Linked DNA regions of Caenorhabditis elegans. The protein of the gene in region 1 purifies or fractionates together with the protein of each later gene. This does not show direct contact. Each region holds a gene or a part of one and is shown on either strand. Other genes may lie near its edges.

Region 1 (5,109 bases):
TATCCCATGTTTCAAATTTCTGTCAAAAATGAGTCAATAGGCACACAAAAACAGAAACTTTATCACTACTTCACAGACATGACGGAGTCAATTTTTGACGGCCCGCCGGATGTGATTCATAGACTTTGAACCATTTCAATCGATAAGCTATTGGAGCTCCTGTAAGCTGGAATCTAATTGACTAACAACCAAAAACTGGCACAACCCTATTCATTGCTTTTGTAATGATGCTCTTTGGTGTACATTTTCATGTTTCCTCCACCCTCTTAGTTCTCAACCTATTTAATAGTGCCACGTCAATCCGAGAGTTTGTGATGAGTTTCTCGGTTAGTACGATTATAAAGAAGAAAAGTGAGACGCGAACTTCTTTTTTTCAACTCCATCTTCGTCGTCTCGGTGCACCTGGTGTGTTGTCCTATTCTATTCGGTTCTACCTCCTCCACCCCCAATCTATTCAATTTTTATTATTGACTTATCGGAAAGAGAGTCAGTAATAGGAGAGGTGGACACGCAGACGTTGTGAGAAAACGACAAGCGCCTCGACTGAGAGAATTGAAGAACTGACTCATTTTTGTACTGAACTGACTGACAGTGCAGACTGGTTGACACACCTGCTCAGAAGCTGCTGGATCACCTTACACATTCACGTGCGACACTATTTTATTCAATTATTGTTCGCGATTCAAGATTCAAGAACTGTTAAGATGACGAAGAAATCGTACGCATTTGCACTGGATCTCGATGATTTGTGCTGTGACGATCATCCATATTCATATTCACCACCTTCCACATCTTCACGGCATTCTGCATATTATCCATCTCAACAGCCTCGGACCTTTTTTCCGGAATATGAATTGACCAGGTTTCTATCTTGTTTCAAAATATTTTTTCCGGCTGCTTCTCTTCTTGAATATGACTCATCGCCCCCTCAATTTTTCGTTGGTCGTGCTGCAAGAAATTTTCCATGATTCATCATAGCAGCTTGTAGTATAGAAGAAGACCATCGTTGTTCTTGTTGAACATCAGATTTTACATTTTATGTCCGGCGCCTGAGTTCGCCTTACTTTTTTTGTGTTCTACGAGGTACGGGCAATATGATGAACGTAGCCACTAAATGGGGCAAAGTGGCCGAATATAATTAGTACGTTTCTAGATTCGGTTGACCTTTGATTTTATATCCAAAAAAGGCAGTTTAACGGTTTTCTTTTTGAAAAACAATTTTTTCTAACTGAGGGGCTGGAACTTCCTTTTCTATTGGAACAACGCGTCTCAAATGAAAAAAAAAAGTTTCCGAAGCGCTATTTTTCGAGTTTTTTTTTTTCATTAAATCGGCTGTAAAAGTCGTCATTTCTTCCCCTCTGTGCTGACGTCTTCACTCAAAATGAAGAATTGCAAGCACAACGAGATGACGTTGGATGGCCCCGCAAGCAGTCAGCATCGAATGAAAATTTAAACACAGAAATTCAACGAGCCCCGTCCATCAAAGCCACAAAAAAACGGGGGTCCGCGAAGGGAAATTAGAAAAAACGAAGAGGCATGGCGGGGGGGGGGGGGACACGATTTTATGTAGCACTTGGAGCAGCACTTTGTGGGGGCATTTATCGGTCGGCGGGGAGGGTTTTTTGGAGAAATTCCGATGTGATGGGAGCAATAGAAAGAGAAGGGGACACATATTCCCTCTTAGTTTTTTTCTCCTTTTGCTCACACTTTTTTCAAGAGGAATACAGACAGATAGAGAGAGACATGGATGCAATTTGTGTCTCTTCTCCAAAGTGTGGATGGATGGATGGATGGATGTGTATGGAGAAAGGCCGCCCATCTTCTTCTTCTTGCTCGCTTGCTCCTCTTCTACTGCCGGCGCTCTCCTCGTTTTTTCCAGTGTGTCCGTCCTCCACGCTTTGCTCCATTTCGGGGAGCCCCAGGGCTCTTACGCGTCCGTTTGACCTAATTCGATATGTTCAATGCGGCATACTCGTCGTTACTCGCTAGATTTATGTGCCAGCCAAGTAGTTCATCTGTGACGCCTATTCCGGAAGAGGAGGAATCTCTGATCCCGAAGCGAAAAGTGTCTGAAGTGGTCACTACAGCTCCGATGGCTCCCACACTAACTTCATCTGGGAAACGGCGAACGGTGAAAGTGTCACCTGATGGAGATCATGTCACACATAACCGAAAAAAGTTAATTTTAGTTCACATTTAAAATTAAAATAAAGCCCCAGTCCACCAGTTTTCAATAAAAATTTTTCCAGCTCTTCATCACATGCACGATCTACTGGACAATCGGGTATGTCAAGTCGATCGGCAGCACGACGCAACGATCAGGATGTACACGTTGGAAAGTATAAGCTATTGAAGACTATTGGAAAGGGAAATTTTGCAAAGGTGAGCACTTGATGATTGGAAATTTCGAAAAAAAATAGTTATCAAAAAATTAGAGCTTGAAACATACTGTAGCCGGTCTCGACACGACCGAGCGCCTTTAAGGATTACTGTAGTTACAAACTCCCGGTTTTTGGCAAATTTTCTGTTTTCCAAATTTTTTAAAAATTTTATTTATTAAAACCAGTCGATGACCGCGCCTCCGGCGCGGCCAACGACTGGCGGAGTTTAAAATGTATAATACATAGATGTCCTTTTAATCATTCAAAAATGTATCATTAAAAAAGTTGAAACTTCATCGATTAAATCGCATTTTCTTCTTCCATGGTATTCGATTCAGAAAATTCAAAGAGACAGTTAGAATGTTCTGATTTTTCTACACTCAAAATTATAAAACTGCGTTGCGTGTACGCCAAAATAGTCCCCGCCTTTTTCTCGTTCACTCACGGGGAAAAGGCAAAAAGCGGTACCCCAGGTAATATCAGCCGCCGACATCATTCGAGGTCCGCGCACCACACTATTTTTCTCACTGTTGGCGTGGCGAGCTGTCCCCCTCCCCCGAAAAAATTCCACAGAGTTACAGTTTTTCAATAAGTTAATAACTTTCCTTAACTGGAGAAGTCTGAATAATTAACTACTAATAGTAAGTTCTTTGAATATAGATGTGACGAAACAAATAAAAACTCCTACAGTTATAGGAGGTTGTAGAGCATTTCAGAACTTTTTTGAATTTTCCAGATGATTCTAGAACATTCTAGAATTTTCTTGAAACTTCCAGAAGGTGCTGAAACAAAAAATTGATTCCAGAACCAAAATTTGAATTTCCCGCCAAATGTTTTCCTCAGAAAATTTGAATTTCCCGTCAAAATCTTTTTCTCAGAAAATTTGAATTTCCCGCCAAAATTTTTCTTGGAAATTTGAATTCCCGCCAAAATTTCTTTTCTCATAAATTTTGAAGCTCCCGCCCATATTTTTAAAGGTCCCACCACGATGGGTCTCGCCAGTTCCAGGTGGTACTTAAGCTAACAAAAAGTTTCTCAGAAAATTTGAATTTCCCGCCAAAAATTTTTTCACTGAAAATTTGAATTTCCCGCTAAAATTTTTTTCACTGAAAATTTGAATTTCCCGCCAAAAATTTTTTCACTGAAAATTTGAATTTCCCGCCAAAAATTTTTTCACTGAAAATTTGAATTTCCCGCCAAAAATTTTTTCACTGAAAATTTGAATTTCCCGCCAAAAATTTTTTTCACTGAAAATTTGAATTTCCCGCCAAAATTTTTTTTACTGAAAATTTGAATTTCCTGCCAAAATTTTTTTCACTGATTGAATTTCCCGCCAAAATTTTTTTTACTGAAAATTTGAATTTCCTGCTAAAATTTTTTTCACTGAAAATTTGAATTTCCCGCCAAAATTTTTTCACTGAAAATTTGAATTTCCCGCCAAAATTTTTTTCACTGAAAATTTGAATTTCCCGCCAAAATTTTTTTCACTGATTGAATTTCCCGCCAAAATTTTTTTAACTGAAAATTTGAATTTCCTGCTAAAATTTTTTTCACTGAAAATTTGAATTTCCCGCCAAAATTTTTTTTACTGAAAATTTGAATTTCCCGCCAAAATTTTTTTCACTTAAAATTTGAATTTCCCGCCAAAATTTTTTTCACTTAAAATTTGAATTTCACGCCAACATTTTGGGTCTCACCACGAAGGGTCTCACCACGATGGGTCTCACCACGAAGGGTCTCACCACGAAGGGTCTCACCACGTAGGGTCTCAACACGATGGGTCTCACCACGAAGGGTGCCACGCCCACTATTCTCACTGAAATTTGGGCGTGACGTCACAGACTCCAAAGACTACATAGACTACAAACTCCGGACAGACGAACTGTATTTTTTTATATATAGTTAATGATATTTCCTTTTTGAGAAGTAATTTAACTTTTTTATATATTTTTTTTGAGAAACGAGAGAAAATTTCAGAAAAAAAAATCTCGGTTTCATTTTTTTACGCTTAAAATTTATTTTTCGAAAACCCAAAATCATATAAAAGTCATGAAAGAAATATAAACTTCGAAAAAATGATAGACATATTGTGAAAATTTGCAAAACATTGCACAAAAAACAGGGAATCACAACTACAGTACCCTTTAAAGGAGTACACTCTTTTGTTCAGAACATTTTAAGTCGTGTCCGGACCTTGGAGACCGTGCACCGTAACTTTTTATTAAAAATCTTTTTTTTTCCCAGTCGGAAATACGAAACAGCCTGACAAAAATAAATCTTAGATATATGACCATTTAATTAATTATTTTTGCAGGTAAAACTCGCAAAGCACGTGATAACCGGACATGAAGTCGCTATAAAAATTATCGACAAGACTGCTCTGAACCCATCGAGTCTTCAAAAATTGTTCCGAGAAGTGAAAATTATGAAACAATTGGATCATCCGAATATTGTGAAATTATATCAAGTGATGGAAACTGAACAGACACTGTATTTAGTACTCGAATATGCATCCGGTGGTGAAGTATTTGATTATTTGGTTGCACACGGAAGAATGAAAGAGAAAGAAGCAAGAGCCAAATTTCGACAAATTGTCTCTGCTGTTCAATATTTGCATTCGAAAAATATAATTCATCGAGATTTGAAAGCTGAAAATTTGCTTCTCGATCAAGATATGAATATTAAAATTGCTGATTTTGGATTTTCGAATACCTTCTCACTTGGAAAC
Region 2 (5,082 bases), on another chromosome or scaffold:
ATGGAAAAAACAGGATTTTAGGTCAAATTTTGACAATTTACATGAAAAAAACAGGATTTTAGGTGAAAATTGATGAATTTTACAGTAAAAATATCGATTTTATGTCAAAATGAACGAATTTTCCGCGAGAATTTCCTAGCATCCACACATTCCGCCGCCACCACTGGAGCCCGTCGGTTGTCCCAACCGAAAAGACGGGCGGTCATTGTCCCATAAGTCGGGCGTTTGAATGATTTTCTCGATAAGCTCCTCAAATGTGCACTGTACACCCTCCTTAGTCTTCGCAGAAGCTTCAATGAATAGTGTGCGGTGGCGTTTTGCGAATTTTAGGCCTTCCTCGCGGGTTACCACTCGATTTGGCTGAAAATTATTTTTTAGGCCAAAAATCGAACAAAATCGGCTTTTTCGCACCATATCAATCTTGTTCGCGACCATCATCTTGATAATATTGTCATTTGTGCAATAAGTATCGACTTCTTGCATCCAATGATTCAATTTCTCGAAGGAGCTGCGGCTAGTGACGTCATACACGCAAATTACGCCCTGTGCTCCACGATAATAGCTCGGCGTGAGGGTACGGAACCTCTCCTGGCCGGCGGTGTCCCAAATTGCGAGTTTTACACGATTTCCGTCGATTGCCATTGAAGTTACGCGGAAATCCACGCCTAAAAAACAATAAATTTAGGGTTTTTTTGGCCTAAAAATCAAAAAATCCAAAAATCCCTGGAATTTCCACGAACCTATCGTTGCAGCCTGCTCAGGATCGAAGACATCGTCCACGAATCGTAGCATTAAGCTGAAAATTTTTGAATTTAAATTGATTTTTTTAAATTTTTTTTGGGCGAGAAAACCCCTCACCTCGACTTCCCTACGCCACTTTCGCCGATAATCAGGATTTTGAGAGTTGTGAGGGGGCTTGAACTGTCGTCGGACATCTGGAATTCGTAAAAACGAAGGGAAAATGCAGGATAATTTTTTTTTTGTTGGGAAATTTACGTTTTTAAGGATAAAAGATAAAAAACTCGATTTTTCAGGGTATTTTCCCCATTTTAAGTTAATTTTTTAACACTTTTAAATAGATTTTTCACCTTAAAACCCAAAAATTTGCCGAAAAATCAATAAATTTCCCTTCGAAAATGTCAGATGTCGTTGCACGAGACGCTCTTTCGGAAAAGAGAGCGATGGAGCGCACTTGCACTTGGCACGATGCCAAGTGCCTGTCGTGGTGAGACCCGATGGCGCGAAAATGGATTTGTTTGAAATTTGTTTTTTTGTTTTTTTAATTTTTAAACGTTTTTCGTGTTTTTTATTTTTATTTTTTTTGTTTTTTATAATTTTTCCAAATTTTTATCAGTTTTCAGCAATCAAAAAAAATGCAAAAATCAATCGACGACATGATCAACGAAGTTCTCGCGGTAAAAGTCGAAAAACTGCCGAAAACCCAAGATTTTTCGGATCTCCAAGAAGTTTGCGCCTCCAAACTGCAGATAATTAACAAGGAAATGGACGAGGCCGATCGGAAGCTGGAGGAGACGCTCGAGAAGCGAAAATTGGTGGAAAAACGTGAGAAATTTAGTGAATTTTCACAATAATTTTCCCATTTCCTAGAACTCGAAGACCTCCAGGAGCAGTATAAAGTCAAGGAATTCGCGTTTTCTCTTCAAAAAGAGTTTCAGGATGAGCTGAAGAAGGTCGCCGAGGAAATTTTCTAACAATTTTCATTATTTCTGTACATATAAAGTTCTGTATTCCTTAACCCCGTTGTTTTTCCCAGTTTTCTGTACTTTTCATGCATTTTATACTTATTTTTCAGCGTTTTTCAATGATTTTTCAGGCTCAAAATCCTCATTTTCAGCCCAAAAATGACGGATTTAGACACTTCATCCGCTCAAATACGGGCTTCGCAGAGCGATTTATCGATTGCCAACTCATCGCCACGTCTGCTGGAGTCCAACGCAACTACTTCTACAGCGGTAAAATCGGATTTTTAGCGGCGAAAAAAATCGAAAAAACGCATTTTTTGCTGGAAAATAAGCAGAAAATCGTGTTTTTCGCCCTGGAAACCGCCTAAAAACACAATTTTCAGTGCATCAACGACGTTCAACAGCCGGTTCGACGCGATTTGAGCTCGGAACTCCTCTGTCCACTGTGTGATCAGCTTTTCGACAGGGTTAGAACATGGAAATACCGAGGATTTCAAGAAAAATTGCGTGAAAAATGGCGGATTTTCCATTAAAAATCGCTTAATTTTACCCATTTTTGACCCAAAAATGTGCAATTTTCGTCTTTTTCCAGCTATAAATGTGAAAAATCGGGGAAAAATGCGAAATTTTCTCATAAAAACTTGAAATTCCGAAAATTGTCTTGTTTTTGCCCATTTTTCCAGATTTTCAGCCAAAAATCACGATTTTTTGGGGATTTTTAGCTAGAAAACCGCATTTTTTCCGATTTTTAGCATAATAATCACAGATTTTCTCGGATTTTTACAGTTTTTTGCCGATTTTTACGATTTTTAGACTAAAAACTTTGGATTTTTAAGATTTTCAGCACAAAAACCCCAGTTTTTCTCGGATTTTTACAGTTTTTAGCTTAAAAACCACAATTTTTCAGATTTTTTTCGATTTTCAGCTCAGAAACCCCAGTTTTTCTCGGATTTTTACAGATTTTAGCTTAAAATTTTGGATTTTTCCGATTTTTAGCCCTAAAAACCCCAATTTTGCCGGATTTTTTCGGTTTTTAGCCAAAAAACTCCAGTTTTTCCCATATTTTAACGATTTTTAGCTCGAAACCCACAATTTTTCCGGACTTTTACAATTTTTAGCCCAAAAAACCCCAATTTTTTCGGATTTTTCTGATTTTAGCTCAAAAATAACCGATTTTTTTCGGATTTTTCTGATTTTAGCTCAAAAATAACCGATTTTTTTCGATTTTCAGCTCAAAAACCTCCCATTTTTCCAGATTTTTCCAATTTTTTGCTCAAAAAACTTCAATATTTTAAGATTTTTTTCAATTTTCAGCCGAAAAATCCAAATTTTTCCGGATTTTTACAATTTTAACCCAAAAATCACACCGATTTCTGCCGATTTTTACACAATTTTTAGCTCAAAAATCACCGATTTTTCCCAGGATTTTCCCGATTTTTAACCCAAAAATCTCGGTTTCTCAGGATTTTTACAATTTTTAGCCCAAAAACTACACAGTTTTCTCCCGTTTTTTTACGTTTTTCATCTCAAAAATCACCCATTTTCCCAGATTTTTAGCTCAAGAAACCCCAGTTTTTCAGCGGAGTTTTCCGATTTTTAGCCCAAAAACCATCAATTTTCCCGGATTTTTCCAATTTTTATGTCAAAAATCCCAGTTTTCCGCCGATTTTTTCGATTTTCAGCCGAAAAACCCCATTTCTACCCTAATTTTTACAATTTTCAGCCAATTTTTCCAAATTTTCAGCCCGTAATGGTAACATGTGGGCACTCGTACTGTGAGCCGTGCATCGAACGACATACACGTGATACGAGAGCCTGTGTAATCTGTAAACTCGACGTTGGACCATTTGCAGCGATGATTCCCAGCATTACACTTGATAATGTACGACGGATTTTGATGCGAAATTCGGATTTTTCGACAGTTTTTACCCCGGAAAACCGTGGATTTTTACCTTAAAATCGCATTTGTCAGCCAAAAAACTCTAATTTTAGTCCGAAAAAACGATTTTTCACGGCAAAAACTACAAAAATACGCTTAAAAACCCGATTTTTTCCTCAAAATTTTGAATTTTGTGACTAAAAATTGCATTTTCAGCCATAAAAAGCATAGTTTTGGCTTAAAATTCAATTTTCGAAAGTTTTTAGCCTTAAAGGCCGAGATTTTGACTTAAAAATCACATTTTCCCGTGGAAAACTTGATATTTTTCAGCCAAAAAAACCACAAAAATACATTTTTCAACTTATAAATTATGCATTTTCGGTCAAAAATCCGATTTTTCCTTGAAAATCTTGCCGAAAATTCAGAAAAATGTTGACTTTTACATCTAAAATTTCTTGATTTTCGTTGGTTTTTACACTGAAAAACCGGAATTTTGACCTAAAAATAAACTTTTTCATAGGAAAACCTAAAAAATTATGAATTTTTGGGTTAAAATTCTCCATTTTCAGGGTAAAAATCTGTTGGAAGCCCTGAAAATTTTGATTTTGAAGCTATTTTTCGCATTTTTCGCAGAAAAACTCAATTTTAATCTCAAAATCCCGATTTTCCAGCTAAAAATCCCAAATTTTTGCATTTTTTCGCCGAAAAACTTAATTTTAGTCAAAAAAAATTGCGATTTTCTTGCAAAAATATCAATTTTTTGCAATTTTTACCTTGAAAACCCAGTTTTAATCTCAAAATCCCGATTTTTCAGTTAAAAATCCAAAATTTTTGCAATTTTTAGCTCAAAAACCCAATTTTCTAGCTAAAATCTCAAATTTTTGCATTTTTTCGCAGAAAAATACCAAAACATTCAACGAATTTTCGTTTCAGATGGTCCGAAAATTGAAAAACCAGGAGAATATCGAGAGCAGCTACGACGATTTGTTCATTTGTGAGGAAAAGGTTGAGTTTTTGCAGGAAAATGCGAATTTTCAGGGTTTTTGAGTGAAAAAATCATGAAAATTAGGTGTTTTTGACCCCAAAAGTCGGGTTTTTTCACCATTTTCAGTTGAAAAATCGTGGTTTTCCACTTTTTTTAAAGCTTAAAAACCCCCGATTTTCCCAATTTTTACCCCCTAAAAACCCGGATTTTTCACTATTTTCAGCTCCAAAAAGCGCCAACACCACCAATTTCGGAGGAAATTCCGGCTCAAAAAATGACGAGAAGCCTGTCACAACGGTCTAAACGACGCTTATTCTTCTCAATTGCGGGCCCAACGATTTGCTCGAGGTAGATGGCTGGAAAAGAGCTGAAAAAAGGCTGAAAATCTGGAAATTTCAGCTAAAAATATGGAAAAATCGCTGAATTTCAGTAAAAATCTTCGATTTTCAGCCAAAAAAGTCAATTTTTCAGTTAAAAAAAGCGAAAAAAATGCAGAAAAATTCGATTTTTCAGTC

The links.
Region 2: the proteins of par-1 (region 1) and par-2 purify together in Caenorhabditis elegans (affinity purification with western blotting; 3 studies listed by BioGRID, with this or other methods). This does not show direct contact.

What each region holds. Positions count from the first base shown.
Region 1 is NC_003283.11:14,123,384-14,128,492, reverse strand, and holds the start of par-1 (Serine/threonine-protein kinase par-1), read left to right. Parts: upstream 1-1,954; coding exon 1,955-2,178; exon of another isoform or gene 2,179-2,237; intron 2,238-2,249; coding exon 2,250-2,382; intron 2,383-4,695; coding exon 4,696-5,109. UniProt on the Caenorhabditis elegans protein: Required for cytoplasmic partitioning and asymmetric cell division in early embryogenesis. Phosphorylates and restricts the asymmetry effector mex-5 (and possibly also mex-6) to the anterior cytoplasm of the zygote.
Region 2 is NC_003281.10:1,079,547-1,084,628, forward strand, and holds the start of par-2 (RING-type domain-containing protein), read left to right. Parts: upstream 1-1,848; 5' UTR 1,849-1,862; coding exon 1,863-1,973; intron 1,974-2,086; coding exon 2,087-2,170; intron 2,171-3,447; coding exon 3,448-3,585; intron 3,586-4,515; coding exon 4,516-4,587; intron 4,588-4,790; coding exon 4,791-4,915; intron 4,916-5,082. Other genes in the region: Ras-related protein Rab-18, read right to left, coding at 136-360, 412-665, 741-796, 859-935; kbp-4 (KNL (kinetochore null) Binding Protein), read left to right, coding at 1,374-1,563, 1,609-1,712.